Linked DNA regions of Elephas maximus indicus. The protein of the gene in region 4 interacts with the protein of the main gene of each other region in a biochemical or structural test. Links are inferred from orthologs where the notes say so. Each region holds a gene or a part of one and is shown on either strand. Other genes may lie near its edges. The genes, in order: UBE2B, MYSM1, USP16 and histone H2A type 2-C.

What was found.
Region 1: of the proteins of histone H2A type 2-C (region 4) and UBE2B, one has a biochemical effect on the other in vitro, tested with the Homo sapiens proteins (2 studies listed by BioGRID, with this or other methods). The link is inferred for Elephas maximus indicus from reciprocal best matches to the Homo sapiens genes H2AC20 and UBE2B.
Region 2: of the proteins of histone H2A type 2-C (region 4) and MYSM1, one has a biochemical effect on the other in vitro, tested with the Homo sapiens proteins (2 studies listed by BioGRID). The link is inferred for Elephas maximus indicus from reciprocal best matches to the Homo sapiens genes H2AC20 and MYSM1.
Region 3: of the proteins of histone H2A type 2-C (region 4) and USP16, one has a biochemical effect on the other in vitro, tested with the Homo sapiens proteins (2 studies listed by BioGRID). The link is inferred for Elephas maximus indicus from reciprocal best matches to the Homo sapiens genes H2AC20 and USP16.

Annotation. Positions count from the first base shown.
Region 1 is NC_064820.1:146,804,836-146,812,565, reverse strand, and holds the start of UBE2B (ubiquitin-conjugating enzyme E2 B), read right to left. Parts: upstream 3,017-7,730; 5' UTR 2,906-3,016; coding exon 2,862-2,905; intron 819-2,861; coding exon 738-818; intron 1-737. Other genes in the region: CDKL3 (cyclin-dependent kinase-like 3), read left to right, coding at 3,566-3,586, 7,125-7,304. UniProt on the Homo sapiens protein: E2 ubiquitin-conjugating enzyme that accepts ubiquitin from the ubiquitin-activating enzyme E1 and transfers it to a E3 ubiquitin-protein ligase. In vitro catalyzes 'Lys-11'-, as well as 'Lys-48'- and 'Lys-63'-linked polyubiquitination.
Region 2 is NC_064821.1:103,010,999-103,018,083, forward strand, and holds the start of MYSM1 (deubiquitinase MYSM1), read right to left. Parts: upstream 3,004-7,085; 5' UTR 2,946-3,003; coding exon 2,881-2,945; intron 1-2,880. UniProt on the Homo sapiens protein: Metalloprotease with deubiquitinase activity that plays important regulator roles in hematopoietic stem cell function, blood cell production and immune response.
Region 3 is NC_064836.1:32,781,229-32,789,159, reverse strand, and holds the start of USP16 (ubiquitin carboxyl-terminal hydrolase 16), read left to right. Parts: upstream 1-4,930; 5' UTR 4,931-5,084; intron 5,085-7,931. Other genes in the region: RWDD2B (RWD domain-containing protein 2B), read right to left, coding at 4,806-4,889. UniProt on the Homo sapiens protein: Specifically deubiquitinates 'Lys-120' of histone H2A (H2AK119Ub), a specific tag for epigenetic transcriptional repression, thereby acting as a coactivator.
Region 4 is NC_064821.1:184,028,446-184,033,962, reverse strand, and holds histone H2A type 2-C, read right to left. Parts: upstream 951-5,517; 5' UTR 914-950; coding exon 524-913; downstream 1-523. Other genes in the region: histone H2A type 2-B, read left to right, coding at 1-365; histone H2B type 2-E, read left to right, coding at 1,212-1,592. UniProt on the Homo sapiens protein: Core component of nucleosome. Nucleosomes wrap and compact DNA into chromatin, limiting DNA accessibility to the cellular machineries which require DNA as a template.

The DNA.
Region 1 (7,730 bases), on a different chromosome or scaffold from region 4:
AGTTAACAGTCTGAATGTAATGGATGGTCACTTTAAAACAGTGTTTTGCTTCTTTAATTTTTTCTTTCTAGTCTTTTTTTTTTTTTTTAACGTATACTCTTGTAACTGATTCTGTGGCAACTGAGAATTTCTTTTACCAACGCATTCCTTCAAAACAAATCTGAATTTCAAATTTTAGTCCAAAACCCTAGTTTAAAAAAAATGAAAGAAAAAAAGGATCAAGTCCAGGGGCAAAAAAAAAAGGCATTAAGGAAAATTTAAATTAAAAGGCATATATGTAAAACATATCATTTGTAAGAAGGCTGTTTATCAAATGGATCCATTCAGTTATTTTACACTGGGCTGTGAAACATTTTCATTTACATTCTCGCCATAGAGAAAGTTCACAATGTTTTTGGTTCCAAGCCTTTTTACAGTCGCAATAAAATGTGAGCAGAATACTTACCTGGTACATTTTGTACAAAAGAATTTATCTTTTCTCCTTTATTATTCAATTTAGTTTCAAATGGTATTTTTCATTAAGTAAAACCAAAATGACTATAAAATCAATATGTAATGCTAAAGCGCAAATATATTCTATGTAAGTGCCAAAATTCTTAACCAAAAAATTTTTTCTAATTTATCTTGCAGTTTCAGTCCTTCAGGTCCCTGATTCCACCTCAGTCTTTTTTCTAGACATTTGTTACATATTAACTTTTCTCAAGAATCACCACACCTATTGTTACCTTTCAACTCACCCAAATATAACAGCGTTCCACTGCATGATGTTGTTTTCAGATGGTGCGCCACTAACACCCACAGGTGGGTCCTCTTGCAACCTAGGAATCCATAGTAGTAACTTTAAAAATCAAACACTAAGGACTCCAAGGAGGCCAAACGAAACACCGACGTTCTCTGTATCATCTACTTTGGCGACACAAACTAATTTCCTTAGCTTATGTTGAGCTGGAATGAACTATACCTGACTTAAAAAAAAAAAGGTATATATACTTATTAAATATCTCTGCAAATTTTCTATAAGTCCCAAGGGCTTGGGATTCATCCTTTTCAAGTATTTTCAAGGTTAAGATATGATCTCTTGAAAAACTGATGCATACAGACTGTCCTCCTGAACAACAAAAAAAACCAAAAGCAAAACACACAAACTCAAGTGCAAAAATATTTTTACAGAACAGGATCTGCTGCTCTAAACAAAGATTGAAACTCCTAACCACAGCTACGTGTGCAACACACACACACAACCTAAGTGTAAATGCTAAAGGACTGCAAGTGCTTATTTATTTTTTGCTCATATTCTTTTAATTAGGAAATCAGTTTTAGGAAGGAGAGCACCTTTATCACATTTGCTTCAGTTAGCGATGGCATTTATAGTAATCTGAAGCTTCAGTTTGGTCTATTTTAGGGCTCTATACTAAAAACCAAATCATACCCGGCAAACCAGGAGATCCAATACAAATTCTCATAACCCCTGGAAAACTACCAAGGGGGCCATGTGTTCAATCCAGAATTAAGCAGAGAAAAACAGTAAGCAAGTAGGGGAACAACGGACAGGCTCTGCAAGCTTTAGTATTTGAATTCCAATCATAAGAGTTAATCTGAAATCTACAAATTTCAAACTTTAGAAAGACTTTTGGACTAAACAAAGTATATTCTTTTAAAGACTGTCATCTAAATAAAAGCTCTATCATCTATCAATTATTATCATATGTGGCATGATACTTTCCCCTTTAGTCCACATAAAAATGGTTTTTACTCCACCTCAAGGATATTAAGCCACGAAGAATAAGACCCTTAGAGAAACTACACATTGCTTGACGCTCATCAGAGGTGAACAGCTAAGAGAAGCTCTGAGTGATTTCAGCTAAGTTGGGCAAAGCCCGAAACAATAGTTTCCAAATGCCTCAACTACGGCTTTATAATGGGAAAGTTGGGAGGTTACTTTAACCTTTTACACTCCCCCAGAAAACTGTGGCTTGTGCAGAGAATTGCGGTACTAAATCCTCTCACCCCTTATTTTTATTTTTCTCAACCTCCAGGTATTCAGTAAGAGGTAAACAACTGAAAAAATCATTTCCTCCTCAGTAACCGTAACACCTCCTAACAAAGCCCTACTTTACAAAAAGAGGCCCAGGGAGTATCAGGTTAGCGCCCGTTTGACAGAAGGCATGTTTCCAGAAGGATTTGGAGATTATAGATAGGGCTTTATACACCAGAAGGCACTGGCACCGGAGCTGGCAGCCCGGGGCCCAGGCCTCCCGGCCAGTTCTCAAGGTCCTTTCAGGCAGGCGGGGGCAGAGTCGGGTTTCGCGGGATGGGTTAGCAACCTCCGGGCCTCTCACTTCAGACCCCACCCTCAATGCTGAAAGAAAAGGAATGACGAGGCGGGGGGAGGGGGACCTTTACCCCAACCTCTGGCCCTCAAAGGAGAACGTGGAGCTGTTGAACAAAGCTGACGAGTTCAGCAGACAGGGAACAAGCTTCTGCATCAGAGCTCACTTTGGGGAGGCAGAGAAAGGGCGCAGTAGGGTGCAGGGGCGGGAGGATAAGGTTTGAGCGCTTGGACAAGACGTCGGGAAGCTGGCAGAAGTGGGCAGCAGGGAACCTTAGGCCGGCGACAGCCACCTTTTTTGTTTACTTTTTTTGGCTAAGATTGAGAGGGGGAGGATATCGAGATTTCTAACGCCGCTAAGGAACAGCAAGAGGGAGTGGGTGCGAAGACTACCACTGGGTTCCCGTCGATCCCGCTAGGGCCCACAGCCAGTCCCCTTAGGGTCGTGAGGGGAACGTGTCCGAGGTCCCCGCCCTGCAGCTCCATAGCTTTGAGAAGGAGCCGTCGGCCAGGTGAAGGTGAAGGCCCTTACCGCTTGAAATCCCGCATGAGCCTCCTTCGGGCCGGGGTAGACATGCTCCAAGCTGCCCCGCGGTCAGTCTGAAAGAAAAGAGTTCCGCACAGCCCCCCCCACCCCCCGGCGCGGCGGCCGAGTCACTGTGGGTCACCGCCGCCGCGCTGCACAAACAACCCTGCAATGACGTCTCCCTCCGCCGCCTCCAGATCCCTCCGCCCTCCGCCAGTACCACAGAGGGAGGGGAGGGGGACAAGGTGAGCGAGGGCGGGATGTAGGAGAGCACGTTCCGGGAGCCTCTCAGCAAGGACCGCTCTCATTTTGGCTTCCTGAACTCCTCGACAAGTTGGTATTCTTTATGCTTAGACCCATTGGATTAAAAGCCATCGTGACCGAAACACCACCCTGTTTCCCCCCTTCACTGACTTAGGCTCGGCTGGGTGGGGAGAGACGGACGCATCCGGGTCCAGGGACTTCAGGGAAAGGAGGTGGAATGACGTCAGGTCACGTGACACCGGCGGCGTTGTCAACAATCCACCCCTGACGGGGAGGGGTGAGGTAGCTAGAACCACGCGTCCCTATGACGCGATTAGAATGGATCACGTGGGACCGCCGCCTGAATCAGTCTCAGCCAGCTCTATGATGCGGGTACCCAAGTTTATGGGTATTAGGGTGGGGTACACCTGTATCAGTCTGTCTCACGTACAGGGACTACATTATCGATGAGGTCATGCCGGAAGCAGGTTTGTCTTTCTAAATCTTTAAAATGGAGCCCAAAATAATTTGGACATAAAATTCCCTCTCGTTGTTTCAGTGGTTAATCAGTCTGGCTCTTAAGGCAAAGTAGTAGTGTAGGGACTTTCTCGATCTTTTAATAAGCGCAGCATTAAATGCTGAGGCCCACACGAAACAAAATCCCCCGAAATTCTTCCTTAGGTCATCAAATAGCCTCTTTCTTTTGCAGTGGAGTTTTCAGGATTGGAAATTCTGGGCAAAGATTAAAAAACGGTGTACAGATTGTCCACGGCTTTTTTGTTGTTGTTGTTTAAAATAAGCACGGAATTAAAAGTTTTGTTTTTCCTGTATGGTTCTCTCATTTGAGGACTTGTGTTAAGAATCCATGGGTTGGGCTACGGTAGGGAATCGTATTTGTCAAGAACTGCGAGGGTGCGACAGGTGATCTGTTGTTAAAGAAACCTACAAATACGATTCAGATCTGCGGGAGATGTGCTGACATGGGTGGGACTTATTTATATATCTAGCCTGAGAGAACTCATTTCTGGTTTTCTACACTAGCCAAGCAAGGCCCAAATGAGCAAGAAGTGTCCATCCTGTGCCATTTTCTCTTCACTGAGTTTCCTCCAGCTATAGTCTTTAACTGACTCCAGGTCTTTGTTGCTCAGGATGACTCTCAGCAATTTTTCATATTTACTTGACAAATTCTTCAGCTCAAGGCAGGGAAATTTCTTTGCATTGTATCAGTCTTTCTTCAGCTTGCCTGTATTTCCAAGAAACCAGGAAGGGTTAGCTTTACTGGTACCTCCCTTTTTTCAAATCCTGAATTCTATCGTTAGCTTTTAGTAACAGCCTTGGTGATCAAGCTAGCTAGGCCTAACTCTTGATAGGTCCTGCTATTCAATCACAAATGTGATTCTCTAAGTCAAAAGCTGATTTTTTTTGCCTTCCTACCATATTCTCCACAGCTAGGGAGTAAAACAGACGGTATAGGGTACCACGCAGTGAAATGCTAAAGAAAAAAGGTTAAAGAGTTACTTTTTAAAAACCCTGTGATGTAATTTATCTAGCAATTTTAATTGTACATGGTTTTCCAAAATGAAGTAACATTTTTGACAAATTCTGTCAAGGATCTTCATAGTCTTAGAGCGATGTATAAGGAAGAATCATTGGCTGTTCAGGTCTCCAAGCCTGCCACAGCCTATTTGTAAAATGAATAATTTCAAGCTAAAACTGTATAAAACCCATTGCCATCGAGTCATTCCAACTCATAGTGACCATATAGGGCAGAGTAGAACTGCCCTGTAGGGTTTCCAAGGAGTGCCTCGTGGTTTCGAACTGCCGACCTCTTGGTTGGCAGCTGTAGTACTTAACCATTACTGCTGCCAGGGTTTCTGAAATTGTATAGTCTTATCAATTCTGTGGAAACCCTGGCAGGAGTAGTGGTTAAGAGCTACAGCTGCTAACCAAAAAGGTCGGCAGTATGGAATTGACTCGACGGCAATGGTTTTGGTTTTTTTGTTTTGAACAATTCTGTGGCTCTAGATTGTGAGCTCACTGAGGGCAGAGACCAGTCTGATTCATGTTCTGTTCTTTACAAATATTTAACCCACAATAAATGTTAAATAAATATGCTTACAGCAAGTCTGGGCAAAGATTAACTTTGACACTCATAGATTACAAGGATTTTTAAACATTGTTGAGTAACTTTTCAAAAGGAAAGACGACTCTGAATATTTTGCTAATGAAAAGGAAAACCAGGATCATTCCTCCTCACTCTCCCCACTCAGAAGCTCTAAACCGTAGCAGCATATTAGAAACACTTGGAGGAACTTTTAAAATACCAATTCCTTTACCCCAAACCCAGTGCCGTCGAGTCGATTCCGACTCATAGCGACCCTATAGGACAGAGTAGAACTGCCCCATAGAGTTTCCAAGGAGCGCCTGGTGGATTTGAACTAGGGTCTCTTTGGTTAGCAGCCATAGCACCTAACCACTGCACCACCAGGGTTTTCTCCTTTACCCCATCCCAAGTGAATCAGAATTTCTGGGAGTGAGGACTTCTTAAAAGCTATCCAGGTGTGATTTTAATGTCCATGTTGGGGTGGGAAGCACTGGGCTAGATTTATTAGATAACAATATTAGATAATAATTTATTTAGAGGAAGCATGGTGGGATTTGACCTTATACACTTATCTCATTTTACAGAAGAAACTAAAACCCCGAGAAAGGCAGTACTTCCTAGGTACTTGTTCGGCATTACTCTAGTTATTCATTTTTAAGCTGTCACTACAGTTGAACCCTATGTCCAGTCCTTAAGCAATTAAACACTGGCCCCTTTTTCTCTGTGCTATTGCATGTCACTCCCTGTGTGTGGTAAAATCCTTTGAATTACTTTCTTCAGGGTCTTTTCCCCAAGGGGCTATTTTAACATGTAGTGAGGGACTTTTTTAAAAAGGATTACTAGGAGTTGGAAGAAATTTTAAAGAGAGGTGTTCACGAAATATTCTTGATGATATACCCGTTTAAGGATGAATGTCAACACCTGAGGTCAAACTCAGGTCCATGGAATAGTATTGTACTAAGTAACTTAAAAAACAAAAACCACACAAGACTTTCTTGGAAGTCTCGCTTTACAAACTATCACAGCTTAATGACAACAGCCATTCTTTTAGCGGCGGGTGTTCTCCAGCCTGGTGGCGTCCGCGACGCATGCCACACACTCATGCTGCTGTCAAAATGTGGATGCTTCCCATCCCGCTCAAAACTAACCTTGTGAGGAGGCCCCGAGTTTGAGCGAAGCCAAACCCACCAAGACCCCAACGGATCCCCAAGCAAGCTTCCATTTTAGCGCGCTCCAGGAGCCCTTTCCGCTTTTTCTCACTTTCCTTCCGGGTCGGACCCGGCCGATAATCCGGTCTTGCGCACTAGGGGCAGAGTGTTGTCGCTGCGTTGCCATGGTAGCGGGCGGCTGCGAGCTGGCGGGGTTGGCTGGCAGAGGCGGGTCCGTGTCCCGTTGCCCGGCTGGGACTGCGCGGAGCTAGGCTGACAGGACTGCAGAATGGGCTGAGGCGGCGGTGGCTGCCCGGACTAACTCGACAGCGGGGTGAGGGGCGCGACTCCGGTCCAGGACCTTAGACGTCGGATTTGAGGAGCGGGCGGGACTTATGCTTTCCTCAGTCCCGGGCCTGATGTGTGGGAGCTGCAGTGGTGCGGGGACCTAATATTTGACGAAGGAATGACAGGAAGTGTTGGGACTACACACTTCATAGATGGGTGACACGTAGTAAGGGAACCTCAGTGTTAATGGGAATAACCGAGGCAGCCGAGCCATAAGTTCTGGTAAGGGCAGGAGCCCCATAGGAACACTTCATTGGCGGGCTGGCGGAGTGCTCAAAGACAGATTCTGTGGAAAAGATTCGTGATTTTTTCTATGTTTCTGTATTTGAAAGTATGGGTTTATTTTGGAAATGCATTATCCAGCTTGAATAAATAAAACTATAAACGTTTAACATTTTTTTTTCCTTTATTTCTCTGAGGAAGTAGAAGCCAGACTTTAAAATGGAGATGTATGAAACCCTTGGAAAAGTGGGAGAGGGAAGTTATGGAACAGTCATGAAGTGTAAACATAAGGTTACTGGGCAGATAGTGGCCATTAAGATATTTTATGAGAAACCAGAAAAATCTGTCAACAAAATCGCAACGAGAGAAATAAAGTTTCTAAAGGTTTGCTTCTTTTGCTTAATTGTTCTATAAATCATAAGAGAAATTGTTAGAAAATAAAAAAAATTGTTTACAAGAATATTTCAGTTAACACATGTGCTAAGACATTAACTGAAAAACAAGTGTGATACTCCGTTTATTATCTAACATTTTGTAATTTTATAGTGATAAAAGATGCATGTGCTTGTGTATAACTTAACAAAAGCTATGCCAAGTGTTGTGAAATAATTACTCAGAAATATTCTAGTATAATGAATATTGAATAAAAATGACTGCTTTGTGCAAGGCATTGTGCTAGATTCTGGGACTATAAAGATGTAAGAGATAGTCCCTGCCCTCAAGAGAACTCTGTGCACCATAAGTGAAAATGTAATTAGAAGACCTTTTCCCAGAGACTATCTCTAGTTCTTTCTTTAACTCTATTGCACT
Region 2 (7,085 bases), about 81 Mb from region 4:
ACCACTGTGCCACCAGAGCTCCTTCACAGTAACTTATACCTATGAAATAAGAAGTGAGAATAGGAAGAAGTGAATACATTTTAGAGGATACTTAATACAGAAACAACAGGATCTTAACGGCTGACAAGATGGAGGGAGTATATGCGGCGGGGAGGGGGGAAGAAAAGGAATAAGGTTCAGGTCTATGCCTCGAGTGAATGGGTAGATGCTGGTCCCATTTATTGAACGAGAAACACTGGAGAGGCAGGTTTGGTGTGGCAGTAAAAACTGTAAGTTGAGACTGAGGTACCTGTGGAACACAACTACAGACAGATTTAGAGAGTTGAATAAATAAATCTGAAGCTTAGGAGAGAAATTTGGGTTGGTGACAGATTTGGGAAACACCAGTATATATGAGGTTGAGCTTAAGAAACCGCCATTTTTGTAGTTCAAAAATGGTTGAACATTGGCAAAATTTCATAAGGTTCAACCTAAAAGAAATTGAAGTCTTAAGATGGCATCACCAGGGACTGTGTGGGTAGTGAGCGTAGAAGTCCTATGACAAAAGTCCTTTGGAACAACTTGATTTAAAGGTTGAGCAGAAGAAAAGGAGAATAACAAGGAATGGCAGGAGAAGTAAAACAGAAACCAAAAAAGTTCAACGCCATCTTCTAACTTTGGTACTTATTACTTAAGAAATGCTTAAAAAGTATGTTTTAAGTTAATCTGCATACTTCAGGGGGCGCCAACAAACAAACAAACAAACCCAAACCTGTTGCCAACAAGTTGATTCTGACTCATTGCAACCCTATAGGACAGTCCATAACTGCCACACAGAGTTTCCAAGGAGTGGCTGGTGGATTCGAACTGCTGACCTTTTGGTTAGCAGCTGAGCTCTTAACCACTGCTCCACCGCCACCAGGGCTCCCAGGGGGCACCATTCACACAAAATTCCATTGTGAATAGAGCTCCAACACCATGAAAAAAAAAAAAAATGATGCTCCTTGGAGTTCTGTAAGGCAATGGCTCTGACCAAGGATCAAAAATCTCTGTAAATCTGCTTGTAGGAGACTAAGATGACCACAGCTGCTGCTGGTAGACAGAAAACCCAAGCAGAGTAACAAGAGAAAAAGAATGAGAAGGGGAGCCGAAACGTGTTGCTGTCGAGTTGATTCCGACTCACAGCAACCCTACTGGACAGAGTAGAACTGCCCTATAGGGTTTCCAAAGAGCAGCTGGTGGATTCAAACTGCTGACCTTTGGTTAGCAGCTGAGCTCTTAACCACTGTACTACCAGGGCTCTGAGAAGCGGGGAGGGGGCTTAAACACAATAAAAAAATAAAGAACCTGGGTGGACTTTGGCAGAGCCAATGCTCTTTAATGTTTCCAAGGCCACTCATATCTCTCAGGACTACAGATTAAATATTCCTGCCCACTTATCTTATGAACATGTGAAAAGGAAATTAAATCAATCATGTAAAAGCATTTGGCCAAGTTTTAAACACTACGCAAATGTGAACAACCACTGTTACTACAGGCTCCCTACTCATCTGCATAGCTTTCGGCTGTTTTCCTTAAAGATTCAGGGAGAATGACCATATGAGTTTAATTACCCTTCACATTTTAATAGTGCTTTAGAGTTCACAACTCTGTCCTATAGAGTCGCTATGAGTCGGAATCGACTCGATGGCAGTGGGTTTGGTTTCGGTTTTGGGTAGAGTTCACAAAACACTTTTATGGCCACTATCTTAGCCCCCCCGTGGGCAGGGTTGGTACTTTTTTCCCAATTCACAGAGGCCCTGATATACAGTTGAACCATATAAAATTTCCAGCGTGCCCATCAAAAAGGTCAAAGACTGGCAATTTTACACGGTTCGGCCTAATAAATTAACAAAGTTGTTCACAACATAAACAACATGGCCAGCTGAGTTCAGAACTCAGGTCTTGGATTCCTGGCCACTCTAGGCCTCTTCCTTTACTAAAAGGAGACACTGGAAGAACATTTTTAAAATGGTACATATTGATTTCCTTATTTAAAAAACAGTACTATGGATTTCCTTACTAGGGAAGCAAGAAGCCAAAGGACCAGATCTTCCAAGCTGAGGTTGCTGTTTAAAACCACACTGGGCTGTTCTGCAGCAATCAGTATTTAATTGAGATATCTCGCTGGGTCCTCCCAATACCCAGGGTAGGGATGGTGAAAGAATACGTTTACAGAGCATCTACCATATACCAAAGCACGCAGAATAATTATTTCATTCGGTCCTCACAACAACCTGAAGATGATTCTCGGTTTACACAGGAGGTCTGAGGGTCAGACAGGTTAAGTACCTTGTCCAAGGTTAAGGCAGGGCCAGTAAATGCAGAAGGCAAACCCAGAGCTGTCCAACTCTAAAGCCTGTAAGTCAAGCTGCCTTTCAGTCAGAAGTTTTTCACAACTACCTCCATGTGAAAAAAGGAACCCTGTGGCTAGAAGAGATGAAACGACTCGCTCAAGGTCATCGCGGCTTGCGAAGGCTAGAACAAGGGTCCCCGTGCTCAGGTCCCGTTCTAGACACTGCAGGAACGCCCCTACGGCAAGTACCGGCGGGTGTGGGGCTGCGGAGATAACTGGGAAGGTACTGCGGCGGAAGAGAGAGGAGGGATATAATCGTTAGCGGGTGTGCAACATGCCAGGTGAAGTCGGCGTCGTCACAGCACTTCGGCAAAAAGGTGAAACAGTCATCCCCACTTTAGCGCCGAGTATCCGCCCGCTGGGATCAGGACACGCCAGCGGGCGCGGCGGGCCTAGCGGAGGGTCTCCGATTTCCTATCCCTTAACGCACCCGCGATCTTCCCAGGGCCGTCTCTTTGCACCCGCGCCCCTCTCCGCCCCAACGAGACCCAGTGTCTTCGCCTCACCCTGGCTGTGCTGCTGCCGCCACTACGTCCCCTTCGATGTCCACATCCGCCTCTTCAGCCGCCATGATGCGGCCTGACCCGGTCCGGTCCTCCGGAGAGATCCCGCGAGAGGTGGGGAGCCGGGGCGGGGCCGGATGCGTCAAGGGGAGGAGGTGAAGCCTCGTCCAGCCCCGCCCATGCCGGGGAGGCGGGGCTTCCAGGGGAATGGCCCTGCAGATCTGTTCCTTTCAGTAAACAGCTTTGGGGAGTGGCAGTGGCCCGGACTTTTTAGAGCTTCTGTTCTAGCACAAATTCTTTGATGCCTCATTGCTCTGATTTGTAAAATGGGGATAATAGCAGATGTCTTTCTGGACTGCTGGAGAGGTCCAGTCAGAGGGTGATTTGTGAACTATGAAGGTGGCAACTATGAGGGAGCCTTACCTATTGGTTAAGTTTTATCACTTTTATTTTTTAAATATTTATAGGAAAAGGGTCATTCAACATTTATGGAAAGTGCTGAACGACCTCTGTTTTAAAATCCAACAAACATTTAAAAATATTGCTTTATGAATGCATAATTTATTTTGTAGAGATCTTTACAATTAAAAAATTACTCTTATGACTATGAATTTTTACAATAACTCAGTGAGGCAGGCAGATCTGTTATCATCACTCATGTTTTACAAATGAGAAAACAGAGCTCAGAAAGGTGAAATGACCGTTCCAAGGATGCACAGCTTGTCAAAGTCAGAGCTGAGATCAGAATCCCAGTTTTTCTGACTCTTTACTGGGTGCTCACCCTGCACAAATCATATTGTTAGGAGCTGTGGAAGATAAACACCCTTTCTATTAAAGGAATTTATGGCCTCTCAAGAAATTAAATATTGGTCTTATGCATTCTTCTACCTTAGAATCTATCACTCACGTAATTATAATTGTTGGTTTTCTTGTCAGCCTCCTCATTAGACTCTGAATTTCTTAAGGACAAAATTGTGTTTGTCAGTGCTTACACTACCAACATTCAGCATGGTGTCTGTTACGGATTGAATTGCGTCCCCAGAAATATGTGTCAACTTGGCTAGGCCTTGATTCCCGGTATTGTGTCCACCGTTTTGTCATCTGATGTGATTTTCCTATGTGTTGTAAATCCTACCTCTGTGATGTCAATGAGTCAGGATTAGAGGTGGTTGTGTTAATGAGATAGGACTCAATCTACAAGATTAAGTTTTGTCTTGAGTCAGTCTCTTTTGTGATATAAAAGATAGGAATGAACAGAGAGACGGGGGAACCTCATAGGACTGAGAAAAAGGAGCCAGGAGGGAGCATGTCCTTTGGACCCAGAGTCTGTACTGTGAAACACCTAGACCAGAAGAAGACATGACAAGGACCTTCCCGCAGAACCTACAGAGAGAGAAAGCCTTCCCCTGAAGCTGGTGCGCTGAATTTAAACTTCTAGCCTCCTAGACTGTGAGAGAATAAATTTCTGTTAAGGCCATTCATTTGTGGTATTTCTGTTATAGCAGCACTGATAGCTAAGACAGTGTCTGACACATAGTTGTTGTTAGGTGCTGTCGAGTGGGGCCCTGACTCATAATGACCCTGTGCACAACTGAAGGAAACGCTGCCTGGTCCTGCGCTATCCCATTATCCATTGTGATCAGACTGTTGTGATCTATAGGGCTTTCATTGGCTCACTTTTGGGAGTACGTTGCCAGGCTTTTCTTCTTAGTGCAGTTTAGTCTGGATGCTCTGCTGAAACCTGTTTAGCATCATAGTAGCATGCAAGCTTCCATTGCCAGAGGAGTGATGGCTGTGCATGAGGTGTGCTGGCTAGGAATTGAACCCGGGTCTCCTTCCTGAATGGAGAGAATTCTACCACTGAGCCATCACTGCCCCTTGACACGTAGATAGTAGGTGCTCGATAAATATTGAAGGGATAATGAATAAGTCAATCAGTTAATGAAATGAGCTCACATCCCACACTATTCTCTGTTCCTTTTCACCTTTGTTTGTGCTTGGGACATAAGATGCCCTATGAATGTAAGGAGCGAGAGCCAGTGCTCAGAAACTGAATACTGCTAAGGCCTCATTCTCAGGCCACCCTGGGGATGCTGTTCCTGTTGTCAAAGGGCTTGTCCAATGACCAGTCCCAATGGTTAGCACCATACCTGGCACAGAGCAGACACTCTAAAATGTTTTTTGAGTGTATATGGTTTTCCTTGATCTTTACGTAGCAGGCAGGAATTGGGACCCTGGCAGGACTGCCTGGATGCTTGTCATATCAGATGAGAATGTTACCTCTTAGAGCATAAATTGGAGCCCCTGGGTGCTGCAAACAGTTAACACACTCAGCTGCTAAGTGGAAGTTTGAAGTTGTGAGTCCACTGAGAGATGCTTCAGAAGAAAGCCCTAGTGATCTACTGCTGAGAAATCAGCCATTGAAAAACCTGTAGCTCATCGTTCTATTCTGACATACGTGGGGTTGCCATGAGTCAGAATTGACTCAACAGCAACTGGTTTTTTGGAGCATAACACAGAATATCATATGCAAAATGTCCCTGCAACACAGCACTAAAGGCTTCCCTGGTCAATTGCCAGCCTTCAGTAGGCATTAAAATTTACATAGAAGGAAGGAAATGTCTTCACAGAATCCACTCATGCCCCAAGTCATCTATAGGTCTCCCTCAACAAAGAGATTAGTTTGAAGCCTCCCCACACATACCCTAGTCCATGCTCCTGGTTAGTTGGCTTTATGTGAAGCAGTCTTCTAAGGGCCTAGGCCCAACCCCATCTGCCAGGATATATAACCTATAACCTCCCAAGCAGGTGAACGCCAGAAGTTTAGCCTATTATTTAAAACCCTCCATTCTAGAGGCTTGTAACCATGGGACTTGTTTAAAAATCCATTTTCCCACCAAGTAGTTTGAAAGCAGAATTCAGGATTCATGTTTCACAGATATCTGTTGCACTCCTACCATGCTTGGGAATGGGGAAATGGCATTGAACAAGACCAACTCAGTCTCTGCCCTCATAAAGTCAATCAAAAATGCAGTTTCAGGACAATGCAATAAGCTGTCTGAGGGAGGACTTACAGGCTACTGTGGGATCACGGAGGAGTGGCTCTTAGTCTAGAATAAACTGTCTCCTGTATCATACTTTGGAGGAGGATATCGATCAGTGAAAATTTAACAGTTTTTTTTTTTTAATAGACTCTGTAGGTGTCCTTTTCTAACAGTTGGTCTTTCCTGATGACATGTCCAAAGTAAGTGTCATGGAATGAATTGTGTCCCCCCAAAATATACATATCAATTTGGCTAGCCTATGATTCCCAGTATTGTGTGATTGTCCACAATTTTGTCATCTGATGTGATTTTCCTATATGTTGTAAATCCTATCTCTATGGCGTTAATGAAACGGAATTAGTGGCAGTTATGTTAATACAAGGTTGGGTTGTGTCTTGAGCCAATCTCTTTTGAGATATAAAAGAGAGAAGCGAGCAGAGAGACATGGGGAATTCATACCACCAAGAAAGCAGTGCTGCAAGCAGAACACATCCTTTGGACCTGAGGTTCCTGCGTGGAGAAGCTCCTAGAACAAGGCAAGACTGATGACAAGGACCTTTCTCCTGAATGAACAGAGAGAGAAAGACTTGCCCTGGAGCTGGTGCCCTGAATTTGGACTTCTAGCCTTCTAGACTGTGAGAGAATAAATTTCTCTTTGTTAAAGCCATCCACTTGTGGTTATTTCTGTTATAGCAGCACTAGATAACTAAGACAGTAAGCAAACCAAAGTCTGACCATCCTTGCTTCTGTGGAGCAATCTGGTTGTATTTCTTCTAAGACTGATTTGTTCATTCTTCTAGCAATTCACAATATGTTCAATATTCTTCACCAACACCATAGTTTGAAAGCATCAATTCTTCTTCTGTCTTCTATATAGTGTTTGTGTGTATTTACTTTTCACCATACATATATTTATCATAGTATATATATTTATTGCAGTATAAATACCACAGCTAAAATGTGCCTGAGTGGTGTAAACAGTTTGTGCTCGACTGCTAACCCAAAGGTTGGCAGTTCAAATCCACCCAGCAGTACCATGGAAGAAAAGGCCTAGTGATCTGCTTCCGTTAAGATTACAGCCAAGAAAACCCTATTGAGAAGTTCTACTCTGTAACACATGGGGTTGCTATACGTTGGAACCAACTTAATAGTAATTGGCTTACA
Region 3 (7,931 bases), on a different chromosome or scaffold from region 4:
GGCTTGCCATCCTTGCTTCCAGGGGATGCTCTGGCTGTACTTCCTCTATGACAGACTTACTCTTTCTTCTGGTAGTCCAGGGTATATGCAATATCCTTCTCCAACACTGTAATCTGAAGGCATCAATTCTTCTTTGGTCTTCCTTATTCATTGCCCAGCTTTCACATGCATATTAGGCGATTGAAATATCATGGCTTGGGTCAGGTGCACCTTAGTCCTCAAGGTGACATCTTTGCTTTTTAATACTTTGAAGAGGTCTTTTGCTGCAGATTTGGCCAATGTGATACATCATCTGATTTCTCAACTGCCGCTTCAATGGGTGTTGACAGTGGATCTGAGTAAAATTAAATTCTTGACAACTTCCATCTTTTCTCTGTTTATCATGATGTTGCTTACTGGTCCACTTGTGAGGATTTTTGTTTTCTTTATGATGAGATGTAAGCCATACTGAAGGCCGTAGTCTTTGATCTTCATCAGTTAAGTGCTTCAAGTCCTCTTCACTTTCAGATGTAAGCCATACTGAAGGCCGTAGTCTTTGATCTTCATCAGTTAAGTGCTTCAAGTCCTCTTCACTTTCAGCAAGCAAGGTTGTATCATCTGCATATCACAGGTTGTTACCAAGTCTTCATCCAATTCTAATGCTGCATATAGTCCAGCTTCTCTGATTATTTGCTCAGCATACAGATTGGACAAGTATGTTGAAAAGATACAACCCTGATGCACACCTTCCCTGACTTTAAACCATGAAGTATCCCCTTGTTCTGTTTGAACAACTGCCTCTTGGTCTATGTACAGGTTCCTCATGAGCGCAATTAAGTCTTCTGTAATTCCCATTCCTCGCAATATTATCCATAATTTGTTATGATCCACATTGGTGAATGTCTTTGCATAGTCAATAAAACACAGGTAAGCATCTTTCTGGTATTCTCTGCTTTTAGCCAAGATCCGTCTGACATCAGCAATGATATCCCTTGTTGCATGCCTTCTTCTGAATCTGGCTTGAATTTGTGGCAGTTCCCTGCTGATGTACTGCTGCCACCGTTTTTTCATTATCTTCAGCAAAATTTTACTTGCATGTGATATTAGTGATATTGTTCGATAATCACCGCATTCTGTTATATCACCTTTGGAATGTGCACAACTATGGATCTCTTCCAGTCAGTTGGCCAGGTAGGTGTCTTCCAAATTTCTTGACAGACTCGTGAGCACCTCCAGCACTGCATCCGTTTGTTAAAACATCTCAGTTGGTATTCTGTCAATTCCTGGAGCTTTGTTTTTCACCAATGCCTTCAGTGCAGCTTGGACTTCTTCCTTCAATACCATCAGTTCTTGATCATATTCTACCTCCTGAAATAGTTGAATGTCGTCCAATTCTTTTTGGTACAATGATTCTGTGTATTCCTTCCATCTTCTTTTGATGCTTCCTGCATCATTTAATATTTTCCCAGTAGAATCTTTCCATGTTGCAACTGGAGGCTTGAATGTTTTCTTCAGTTCTTTCCAGCTTGAGAAATGTCAAGCGTGGTTTTCTAACTCCAGGCCTTTGCACATGTCATTATAATACTTTGTCTTCTCAAGCTGCCCTTTGAAATCTGTTCACATCTTTTATATGATCGTTTCTTGCATTCACTTTAGCTACTCGATGTTCAAGACCAAGTGTCAGAGTCTCTTCTGACATCCATTTTGGCCTTTTCCTTCTTTCCTTTTTAATGACCTTTTACTTTCTTCATGTATGATGTCATTCCACAACTCGTCTGGTCTTCAATCATTAGTGTTCATTGCATCAAATCTACTTTTGAGATGATCTCAGTTGTAATATACTCAAGGCCTTAGTTTGGTTCTCATTGACTTGCTTTAATTTGTTTCAACTTCAACTTGCATATGAGCAAGTGATGGTCTAGCTCCACAGTTGGCCCCTTGGCCTTGTTCTGATTGATGACATTGAGGTTTTCCATTGTCTCTTTGAACAGATGTAGTTGATTTGATTCCTGTGTTTTCCATCTGGTAAGATCCATGTATATAGTCACGATTTATATTGTTGAGAAAAGGCATTTACAATGAATAAGTTTTTGGTCTTGCAAAATTCAATCATGCTATCACCAGCATTGTTTCTATCACCAAGGCCTTATTTTCCAACTACCAATCGTTCTATTTTCTAACTTTCACATTCCAATCACTGAAAATTATCAGGGCATCTGGATTGCATGTTTGGTCAATTTCAGACTGCAGAAGTTGGTAAAAGTTTTCAATTTCATCTTTGGCGTTAGCGGTTGGTGTGTAAATTTGAATAACAGGCATATTAACTGGTCTTCCTTGTAGGCATATGGGTATTATCCTATCACTGAGAGCTCTGTACTTCAGGATAGACCTCGAAATGCTCTTTTTATCAATGAATGTGATGCTGTTCCTCTTCAGTTTGCCATTCCGGCATGATAAGACCATAAACCAAGAAAACCAAACCCACTGCTGTTGAGTCGATTCTGACTCATAGCAACCCTATAGGACAGAGTAGAACTGCCCCGTAGAGTTTCCAAGGAGTGCCTGGAGAATTCGAACTACTGACCTCTTGGTTAGCAGCTGTAGTACTTACCACTACGCCACCAGGGTTTCCATAGTAGACCATACCATTGTCCAATTCAAAATGGCCAATACCAGTCTATTTCAGTTTACTTATGCCTAGGATATGATCATCAATCATTCCATTTCATTTTTGACAACTTTCAATTTTCCTAAATTCATACTTGGTTCGTACATTCTATGCTCTGAATACTAACAGATGTTTGCAACTATTTCTTCTCATTTTGAATCATGCCACATCAGCAAATGAAGTTCCAAAAAACTTTACTCCATCCACGTCATTAAGGTTGAATCTACTTTCAGGCTGTACCTCTTCCCAAGTCATATTTTGAGTGCCTTCCAACCTGAAGGGCTCACCTTTCAGCACTATGTCAGACAATATTCCACTGCTATTCATATGATTTTCACTGGCCATTTTTTCAGAAGTAGATAGCCTGGCCCTTTTTCCTAGTCTTAATCTGTAAGCTTAGTCTGTCAGTATGTCATACTGTGGTGGCTTGCGTGTTGCTGTGATGCTGGGAGCTATGCCACAGGTATTTCAAATACCAGCAGGATCACGCATGGTGAACAGGTTTCAGTGGAGCTTCCAGACTAAGACTGAGGTAAAAATTGCAAATGGTGAAATGCACACCTTAAGCATACATTTGCTAAGTCTGCTGAGTTACACCTGTGTAACTCAAACACTGTGAAGATAAAGGACATTACCATAACCTCGGGAAGTTCCTTCGTGCCCCTCTCCAGTCGGTCCCCTCGCCCAACTCCCCAAGAGAAAACAATTACTCTGACTTTTTCCCACCATAATTAGTTTTACCTATTGTAGAAATTCATATGAATGGAATCATACGGTACCGTTTTTTTGAAGGCTTCTTTCACTCAGTATATTTTAAAGATTCATCCATGTTCTGCTCAGTAGTTACTTTTTATTGCTTAATAGCATCATATTGAATGAAGAATACACCACAGTTTTTCCTTTTGTGTGTGTGTGTGTGTGTGTAGAAATCTAGGTTTTTTCACCTTGTTTTCTGTACATGGCTATTATGAGTAAAGCTGCTATGAACCTTTTTGTACAAACATTTCATGTGCAATGACCATTTTCTTCAAAAATTTTTAAAGTGCTTATTATGTTGTAGGCACTTCTAGGTATTGGAGACATAGCCATGAATAAGACAAAGATGTAGCAGCTCTCAAGAAGCTTACATTTGCACATTTGTGTGTATTTGTGGTGAGGTGGAGGGGCAAGTATACAGGCAAGTATGAAAGAAAAATACCTGATAGTAGTAATTGCTTGTCAAAGAAATAAAACAAGGTGATGTGAATGATCTGATGGCCATTTTATATAGGTCACTCAGCAAATACCTCTGCAGGGAAGTGACTTTTCAGGTGTGAAAATACTAACCATGATAGATCAAGGGGAACATCATTCCAGGAGGGGAAACAGGTGGTACAATGCCTTAAGGGTGTGTTTTTGAACAGGAAACAACAACAAAAAATGCCAGTGTGGCTGAAGATGTGCAAACAAATCTTAAAAAATTATATCTCAGTAGCAGTAAAGGACAGGAGAACAATTTACGACCAAATGTAACTAAACGTTTTTGTCTTGTCCATCTAGTACTGATTACTAGCAACGGTATTTTTTCATGTATATTATGACCAACTATTCTTTTTTGGTCAATTACTTGTTTACATTCCTTGCTTATTTTTCTATTGGCACTTGCATTTTTTTTTTTCTTGCTGAATTTTGCGTCTCCTCTATTAACAAATTCTAGGAGGGTGAAGCCTATGTTTAACTCACTTAGCACGGGGCTTGGGACAAGTGGGCACTTACATATCTGAAGGAATAAACACTACAGGTTTGACAATTTTATCTTCCTTAGTTCTCTGATCTTTTTGAGTTGTTTTAAATCTCCTTCACTGCTTTACCTTTTTATTCTGATGTATTACAGCAAGTTAGTTCAAGACAATTTACGTACTCAATTTTAGAAGTATAGGTTAGAATTAGGGAAACTGCGTGAAATTTCAATGTTCCGTTCCCCTCTGATGGAGACTTCACATGTAGCGAGTTTAAGAAAGGTAACTTGGAAGACACCGGCAGTCATTTGTTTATATTCAAGTAGGAGGTCCCGAACCTCTAGCCCTCACTACCAAACCCAAACCAAACCCACTGCCTTGAGTCGATTCCGACTCACACCGACCCTGTAAGTAGGCACCCACAAGCCCCACACACTTACATAACCCCACAGTCGTACTGGAGTAGGGACTCTCTCAGGAGTTGAGGCCCCCGGACATCCGGCGCATGTGTGCGCAGGCGCCATTCACAAGTTTCAGTGAGCGGAACCCTGGGCGGAAGCCTCTTCCCATAATGCCGTGTCCCGGAAGTTGTTGCTTTCTCGGGGTCACTGGGCTTCGGGCATACTGTCGCTCACTAATCGTCTCCGGGAGGAGGACGGAGCTGGGTGCCCAGCCCACAGGGCCACTAGGGGATGCAGTTATGGGCGCTGTCGCCGTGGGTGAGTTCTGACCCCGCTGACTCGCAGTCACTGCTCACATGACTGCCTGCGCTCTGAGGGACCCGAATTTTCTGCCCCAACCTCGTTCTGTTTTCGACGGCCTGTTCTCCTTAAACCCATTACCCGGCCCCGGCCCGGTCCCGTGTTCTTATTGGCTGTATGTCCTGTCAGTTCCAGGAGCTGACCCGTCAGTCGCTGGTGCTGGCGCCCCTTTTGACCCCGTGGACCCCGAGGTTCTCCTGTGGGTGCAGAGCAGTTGGAAAGGAAGGGCAGGTGCCGCACGAGTGGGCGGGTGGCGCGCTGCTGGGAGCACCCAATGGCTGCGGCTGGGTTTGCAGCTGCGTCCACGTTCTGATTGATAGGATAGCCGAGGTCCGTCACCTACCCGACTGAATGCTCCCAGGGGAGGATCCAACTACCCAAAACTTAAAAGCCACGTTTAAGACCTGCTGACGATGTTTCCCACACACTTGCATTTTTAATAGAACGGAGTAGGCAGGGGAAGACTAGCTTTGATTTAAATTTCGTGTGACGTGGGTCCTGGAAAGAGTAACTTGGCCAAGCATCTAATTCTTTTCCGAAGACACTCCTGAAATTTTAATAGATTTTTTTAATGGCATTCCCAATACTCTCTTCTCAGATTCATTAAACGCCTTTTATAGTTGTCGAAATTTTACTGAAGTTGTTTCCACAGCGTTGAAATGATGACCCCCTACTGTCTTCTGCCTGCAGCAATTACAGTTCGTCTTCCAAGTTTTCCTTTGGCGTCTGGGCTTCTGCAGTCCTCAAACCAGATTTCCTAGTGCTGTCTTCAGTGCTGCAGACCTCTTCACTCTCCACCCTTTTCTTTTTCACCAGAACTTGTTTGCTTCATTCTTATGTATCCATCTTTGCACCTTATAATCATCCTTTATGGCTCAGGTACCATTCTCTTTTTCCATTGCAACACAAGAAGTATTTCTTGAGAGCCTTCTGTGCACTAACACTCTACTAGATGCTGTAGGCAATTCAGAAGAAATGCCTAAAAGCTTTCTTTTTTCTAGAACTTTAGATTTCAGGTAGAGAGGTAACATAGGGCCAGACTAAAGATTTAAGAAGCAGTTTGCTCTGGTATCTCATTGGGAACAAGATGAATAACAGCAGAAATGCTGCGGAAGCTCAGTGTGGAGTTCATTCAGAGTAGAAAAGCTGGGTCAGGTTTTGTTGAGATGGAGAGCTTAGAGGATTGGTAAGATTTGGACAGATAGAGACAACATTCCTGCTAGAAATCAAAGGTATAGAGGTGAGGGCAAAGGGTTTTGGAGTGGAAGATACTGAAGAGACTGGCTAAATTGTAATGGAAAGAGCCTTGGAACCTAAAGATCTGGGTTTTGGTTCCATCTCTGTTGCCTTGTCATCTTTCATTGTTTTATTTCTGAGTTTCCTCATTTAGAGAAGTGCCTAGTTTGAAGAGTTGCTGTGAAAGTCAAATGAGATGTTTGTTAAAGGGCTTTGAAGACTCAAAAAAAAAAAACCAAACCAAACCCGTTGCCATCAAGCTGATTCCAACTCATAGCAACCTTAGAGAACAGAGTAGAACTTCCCCCTAGGCTTTCCAAAGAGTGGCTGTTGGATTTGACCTTTTGGTTAGCAGCGATAGCACTTAACCACTGTGCCACCAGGGCTCCTGAAGACCCAAAGCACTATATAATTAGAACTTTATATTGAAATGGAAAATGTTTTGTTATATATGCTGAGTAATTTTATCATACACACACACACAAACATTAAAAACAAACAAAACCCAAAAACTTAGTGGTTCTTTGTTGAGGAGTAATGAGAATCAGGATTACCAGAGTGCTGGGGCCAAACTATTAAGGACCATGAGTGCAAAACCTAGGAGTTTGGTTAGAGAAACTGTTAAATGCTTACAATCAAGACAGTGATGTGATGAAAATGACATTATTGGAAGATGAATTTGGTACTGGCATGCAGCATAGAATAGAGGGAGTTGGAGCTATTTTTTTTTTCTGTAAAATATATGATTTATTCTAGGTGAAATAAATTACATGAAATGTGATTTTTAGGATGAGTAATAGTACATAAAATGTACATTGGTTTAATGTATGTACAGATACTTTGCGTTCCTTCATTGTTAGTTTATTCATTTATTTTGTAAACATTTTAGATTATCCTTGGAAGGATTTTCTTACCAGTTACTTGATGTGGCACTTATTTTTTATACAAGTCTTTTTGAATTACGTTACCTTCGATTACACTAACCTGTGAAGAACTAAAAAGAGGAATACATACATGTACGACTCTAAGCCAGAGCAGTGATGACAGCTACATACCAGAATTAACTGGGCAGTGTTTCAAAACAGGTCCCAGGGCACACTCTCCACATATGAAATCAGAATTTTAATAAACCTTCCAAGTAAAACAACTGTTATGGAGTTAGTCATTTAAGTGATTTTGACACTCATAAATTTTTTTTTTAGTACATTTAAAATACAACTTTTCAAAACCATTATTATCATGTAAAAGTTAGGTAGATTTGTCTGTACTTTCAGCACTTTCCGTATTTTCTAATTATGAATTGTTAATTAAAGAAGCGAAGATTTGATGTGCAGCTCGGGGTTTGTCATAGCCTCCCAAAGTGGTTTTGGCAGTAATATAACAATGTAAATAGTTGAGAATGCAGTTGTGATCAGTTCTCTGCTAGCCAATAAAACTCATTGCCTTCAAGTTGCTGCCGACTCCTAGCGACCCTGTGTCCTACCCCCCATCAGGGTTTCCAGGGAGGGGCTGGTACATTCAAACTGCTGACCTTTTGGTTAGCAGCCGAGCTCATAACTCCCGGGCCAC
Region 4 (5,517 bases):
AAGCACGCGCAAAGGCCAAGTCGCGCTCGTCACGCGCTGGCCTTCAGTTCCCGGTGGGCCGAGTACACCGCCTGCTCCGCAAAGGCAACTATGCCGAGCGCGTGGGTGCAGGCGCGCCTGTGTACTTGGCGGCCGTGCTCGAGTATCTGACGGCGGAAATCCTGGAGTTGGCGGGGAACGCGGCCCGCGACAACAAGAAGACGCGCATCATTCCTCGCCATTTGCAACTGGCCGTGAGAAATGACGAAGAGCTCAACAAGTTACTCGGAGGTGTCACCATTGCTCAGGGCGGCGTCTTGCCAAATATCCAGGCTGTCTTGTTACCCAAGAAAACGGAGAGTCACAAACCTGGCAAGAATAAATAATTAACCTTTATACCATCCCTCGTCATCCCAAAGGCTCTTTTAAGAGCCACCAAAGTGTCAAATGAAGGGCTGATCACGAAATAGCGCATTAGCTCTTTCTTTGAAAACTTGGGTGGCTCTAAAAAGAGCCTTTGTTCTTTGGCTTACTTTGTCGCGATCTACTTGCTTTTGGTTTTGTGACTTTCGGTTTTCTTTGGTAATAGAACGGCCTGGATGTTGGGCAAAACACCGCCTTGGGCGATGGTGACTTTGCCCAACAGCTTGTTTAGCTCCTCGTCGTTACGAATAGCCAGCTGGAGGTGACGGGGGATGATGCGCGTCTTCTTGTTGTCCCGGGCCGCGTTGCCCGCCAGCTCTAGGATCTCCGCTGTCAGGTACTCGAGCACCGCCGCCATGTAGACGGGCGCACCGGCCCCCACCCGCTCGGCATAGTTGCCTTTACGGAGCAGACGGTGAACTCGGCCCACCGGGAACTGCAGGCCTGCACGGGAGGAGCGCGATTTGGCCTTAGCACGAGCTTTACCTCCTTGTTTTCCGCGTCCTGACATTGCCAAACGGGAAATGTGCAAAATCAAGATTAAGAAAACAGCCCTAGGAAAGCTTTTATAAGCTTTCTTAGGGGTGGAGTTAGGAGCGAGATTTTCATTGGCCCTAAATCGCTCCACAAACGGCCAATAAAATCAAGAGTTCTTCTTACGTAGCTATTACTGGAAAAGCAAGGCCCACTACTTTGACCAATAGAAACTAAATACTTTTGGAGCCCTAATTTGCATAAGATGGTTATAAAATGATCAGGCCCGCCCATTCTCAACTTCTGTTCTCTGTTGGACAGTGTTGTCTTTTACAATGCCTGAGCCGGCCAAATCCGCTCCTGCTCCTAAGAAGGGCTCTAAGAAAGCCGTCACCAAGGCCCAGAAGAAAGATGGCAAGAAGCGCAAGCGGAGCCGCAAGGAGAGTTACTCCATCTACGTGTACAAGGTGCTGAAGCAGGTCCACCCCGACACGGGCATTTCGTCCAAGGCCATGGGTATCATGAACTCCTTCGTCAACGACATCTTCGAGCGCATCGCCGGGGAAGCGTCCCGCCTGGCGCATTACAACAAACGCTCGACCATCACGTCCCGGGAGATCCAGACGGCCGTGCGCCTGCTGCTGCCCGGCGAGCTGGCCAAGCACGCTGTGTCCGAGGGCACCAAGGCCGTCACCAAGTACACCAGCTCCAAGTGAGTCCCTTTGCGGGACCCGGCGCACACACTGTTCGCCGGCCTCTTTGCTCCAAAGGCTCTTTTCAGAGCCACCCACCTAGTCACAAGAAAAGAGCTTTATTCACTTGTCTTTTCACATTCTTCTCACAAAGTAGAGATCAGAGACGATGGCACACGTAGCTTTTTAAATTTTTGTGACCCGCGGGCCCGGCACGTGACTGGCTTTGTTTTTCAACATAGATACATTCTTGCTCCTCGCTGCGCTTAGTTTTTTTCTAGAAGTCGGTTGTAAATAAGGGTATTGGGAATTTATGGCGGCTTTGTTCCAGAATATGCTTTATCTGTGTTCGAAACGAACTGATTCTGGTTGGTCCTCTTAAAAATGAGCTCGGGACACAAGCCCGGGCCCGCGACAGCCCTGTACGACTGAAGAATTCCCCTGAGAGCTTGGGAGCGGCTTGCGCGAATGGACGCTGATCCTGCCCTGCAATGGGGCTGTTTGCGGATGCCAGCGGCTCCGCGCACTGAGGGCGGAGCCGGCGGGTCTGCTTCCCAGCTGTCCCGTGATTGGACCGATTGAATATTCAAAATCCTGCCGTCCTGGAATTGGCTGACTCGGGTTTGCGCCGCTTTCTTCAGGGCTTTGAAATCCCAATTATTTCCTTGATTTGTGGGTCGTTTTTGGATTTAATGTTCGCTTTGCTGCGTCCCCAGGTCACTTCAACCCAGATAGTGATCTTTTAGGTCTGCTTCAAAAGTCATCTCGCAGAGACCCGGATCAACCATTCAGGAATCCGCATTCCTCTTGTTCTTGCCGGTTTTACCTTCCTCGTAGCAGCCGTCTGAAATTGGTTCGTTTGTTTTCTCGTTTATGTTTTTTTTTCCTCAACCAGTTTGCAAACCCTCGAAGACAGACTTTGCTGACCTTGGCTCTCCACTATATCTTCGGCGCCAATTAGTGCCTGGCACGTGGTGACTCAAATGCTCGTTGGATAAGTATTTGTTGAATTTCTTTCCTATTCCACCTCTTAATCGCTTCCTTGGCTGGATGGGTGTGGGTTATTTTCGTTAGACGGATCTGGAGGCACGATGAGAATGGAAATGTTTTCGGAGTTCCCTCCTCAAAATTGTTCCTCAGTGCCGCAGCTGGGTTGAGCCTGTGTTAAGATTCTTTCTGCCCCAAAGGAGCTGTGGCTATGGTAGGTTCTTCCTTTATGCTTCCCAGGTTATATTAACTCTAGTATTTTCATTAAATTCAGAGCGTTGGTCGCTGGAAAGCAAAATTATCCTTTCCCCACCTTCTTTTCTGCCTACTTCACATCCTGATTTTCTTGTTCTCATTTGTTTTTCAAGAGACCGACCCTCTGAGGCAGGTAGAACTGGGGGCTCAATATCCTTTTCACAGATCAGGTTGAGAGAAGTTAAATGATTGGTCCACAGTCATGCAGCTAACATTGTCCACCTTTGTATCCTTAGATGCGAAGACAATTGCATTTTAGATTTATTTTGTGAAATTAAAAGATGTTGACTCTTTTCCAAACCTTGATTTTTATTGACGAAAACGGATGATTTTTCAACTCTGCTTTTGACTAAGGAGTTCTGGAGTTCGTTGCAAGGACTTCAGGAATCCCAATTAATTCCAGACATTATCACAGACAATAAATCTTATGTCTCCTACATGTGTGTTTTTAAATGTGTATAGATGTTATTGTTCTTAATAAAGGTACCAGTTAATTTAAAAGCTTCCTTGTTTTCTTTTATCTGCAGTGTACTTCCTCAATAAATTAACAGATACAGTCAACACTGGGTCTGTGAGAAAACTAGGTGCCTCTGATCTGAAGGATGAATAAAACCATCAGCTAAACTCCTCTAGGGTTAAAATAGCCTCTTAAAACTCTCCTCTTAATGCTTAAAAAAAAAAAAAGTTGCTGTGGAGTCCATTCTGACTCATCCCAACTCATGGTGACCCCATGTGTTTCAGAGCAGAATTGTGCTCCATAGGGTTTTCGTACTGTGTTTTTCTGGAAGCAGATCACTGGGACTTTACTCCAAGGTGCCTCTGGGTGGGTTCAAACCTTTTGATTAACTGAGTGCTTAATCATTTGCACCATTGAAGGACTCCTTCTTAACACTTAATTACTGAAAAATATGTGACCACAAAGAAGAAACATTATAGACAAGATGGGGAAATAAAATCCCTAAGAAAGTTTAACTTCAGTAGATCATAACATCTACAGAGCACTTATTATGTACCAAGCAGTGTTCTAAGCCTTTTACACATGTTGACTCATCTTATCCTCACAGGAACCTTGTAAGTTTTGTTTTTGTGTGCCGTTAAGTTGATTCCGACTCATAGCAACCCTATAGGACAGAGTAGAACTGTCCCATAGGGTTTCCCAGGGTGTAATCTTTACAGTAGCAGATTGCCAGGTCTTTTCTCTCACAGAGCTGCTAGTGGATTCAAACCACTGAGCAAGTGCTACGTGCTTAAGCATTTTGCCACCATGGCTCCTGCCTTATGAAGTAGACACTACTATTAATTGCTCATTTTACAGATGAGGAACTGAGGCATAGAGATGCCTCTCCTCAGAAACTCTGGTAAATAAGCTCCTAGTTTAGTGCTTAATGGATTTAAGAAAGTAGGGTCATTCTCGGAAAACCTAGACCCTTCCCTGGATTTTTATTGGGAAAAATCTATGATTTAAAATTAAAATGAAATGCCACCTACTTTGTTCTCTTTGGAATGCACTCAGGATATTAACCGAGAGGAGAGTGGATTGGTAATTAAGGGTGTATTTACTGGGCTGCTAACCAAAAGGTCAGTAGTTCAAATCCACCAGGTGCTCCTTGGAAACTCTATGGGACGGTTCTACTCTGTCCTATAGGGTCGCTATGAGTTTGGTTTTTACTGGTCCAAAAGCCATGAGGGTGGGATTGGAGGACCCTGGTTCTACATCCCAGAAGCCATAGCTCAAGTTAGCTTGTCCCTGCAGTGGTGGAGTTTTCTAGCTGGTATCCTTACACTAATGTGAGAGAATCTTAGTTGCTGGTGGAGGGACTCTTCCTGGGCATGATGTTCACTAAGAAGGAAGTTACAGAGAGGAAGGGGGGGTTGATATTTTAATTGAGCGAGAAGGTAATCAATCAGTGATGGTGAGATTAATCCTAAAAGCCTCTGATCATTTTTTTCATTTGCTCAAACGACTTGCTCTCCATTTGCTTGTATTGGGGTTAATAACAATGATGATAATAATTGTTATAATAATAATTTCTACCACTTTTTGAGCACTTAGCTATTGTCAAAGAAAAAAGTGCACCAAACAATGTTCAAACAGTTGCAAAACAATTGTAAAAAAGAAGAGGAAGGACTACTGGAAGTGGGGGAGGAATACTTCAATAAAAAAAAAATAGTGGGAGACTATTACAATGGGGAGTGAAAGACCCACGTCTGAGTTCTACTCTGATGAAGCAGAAGACTTCAGATTTCAAAAAGCTAAGGGGTTCTTAGTGTCCTTAGGAGACCTTAGGGCAGGCAGAGAGAAATAAGCGATTCTCTAGTTAGGCACCTGGAGCTTTGTAAAGTCTGGGCGAGTGGAGTCAAGGAGATATTTAAACAGAGGAGATTACTAATGCTCTTTTGGTCTGTTCTTTGCAGTATGTAAACCATTTTCTGGAACACAAAAGGATTTGAGGAGTTCTTTCATCATTGTTGCTCTCCAGCATGACGTTGTTAGCTGCTGTGGAGTTGACCCCCAACTCATGGAGACCCATGCACAACTGGTCCATCGACAGATGAGTGGTGGCTGCATTTGAGGTGCATTGGTTGGTGTAAAAGTGGTGTGGCAGAGGTGTCTGGCCTCCTCTAACTTCACAAGAGGAAAGGAGAAGCAAGATCAACAGCCCAAGGCTGATTCCCATGAGGCAGAGTTCATGCATACCTCCACCCT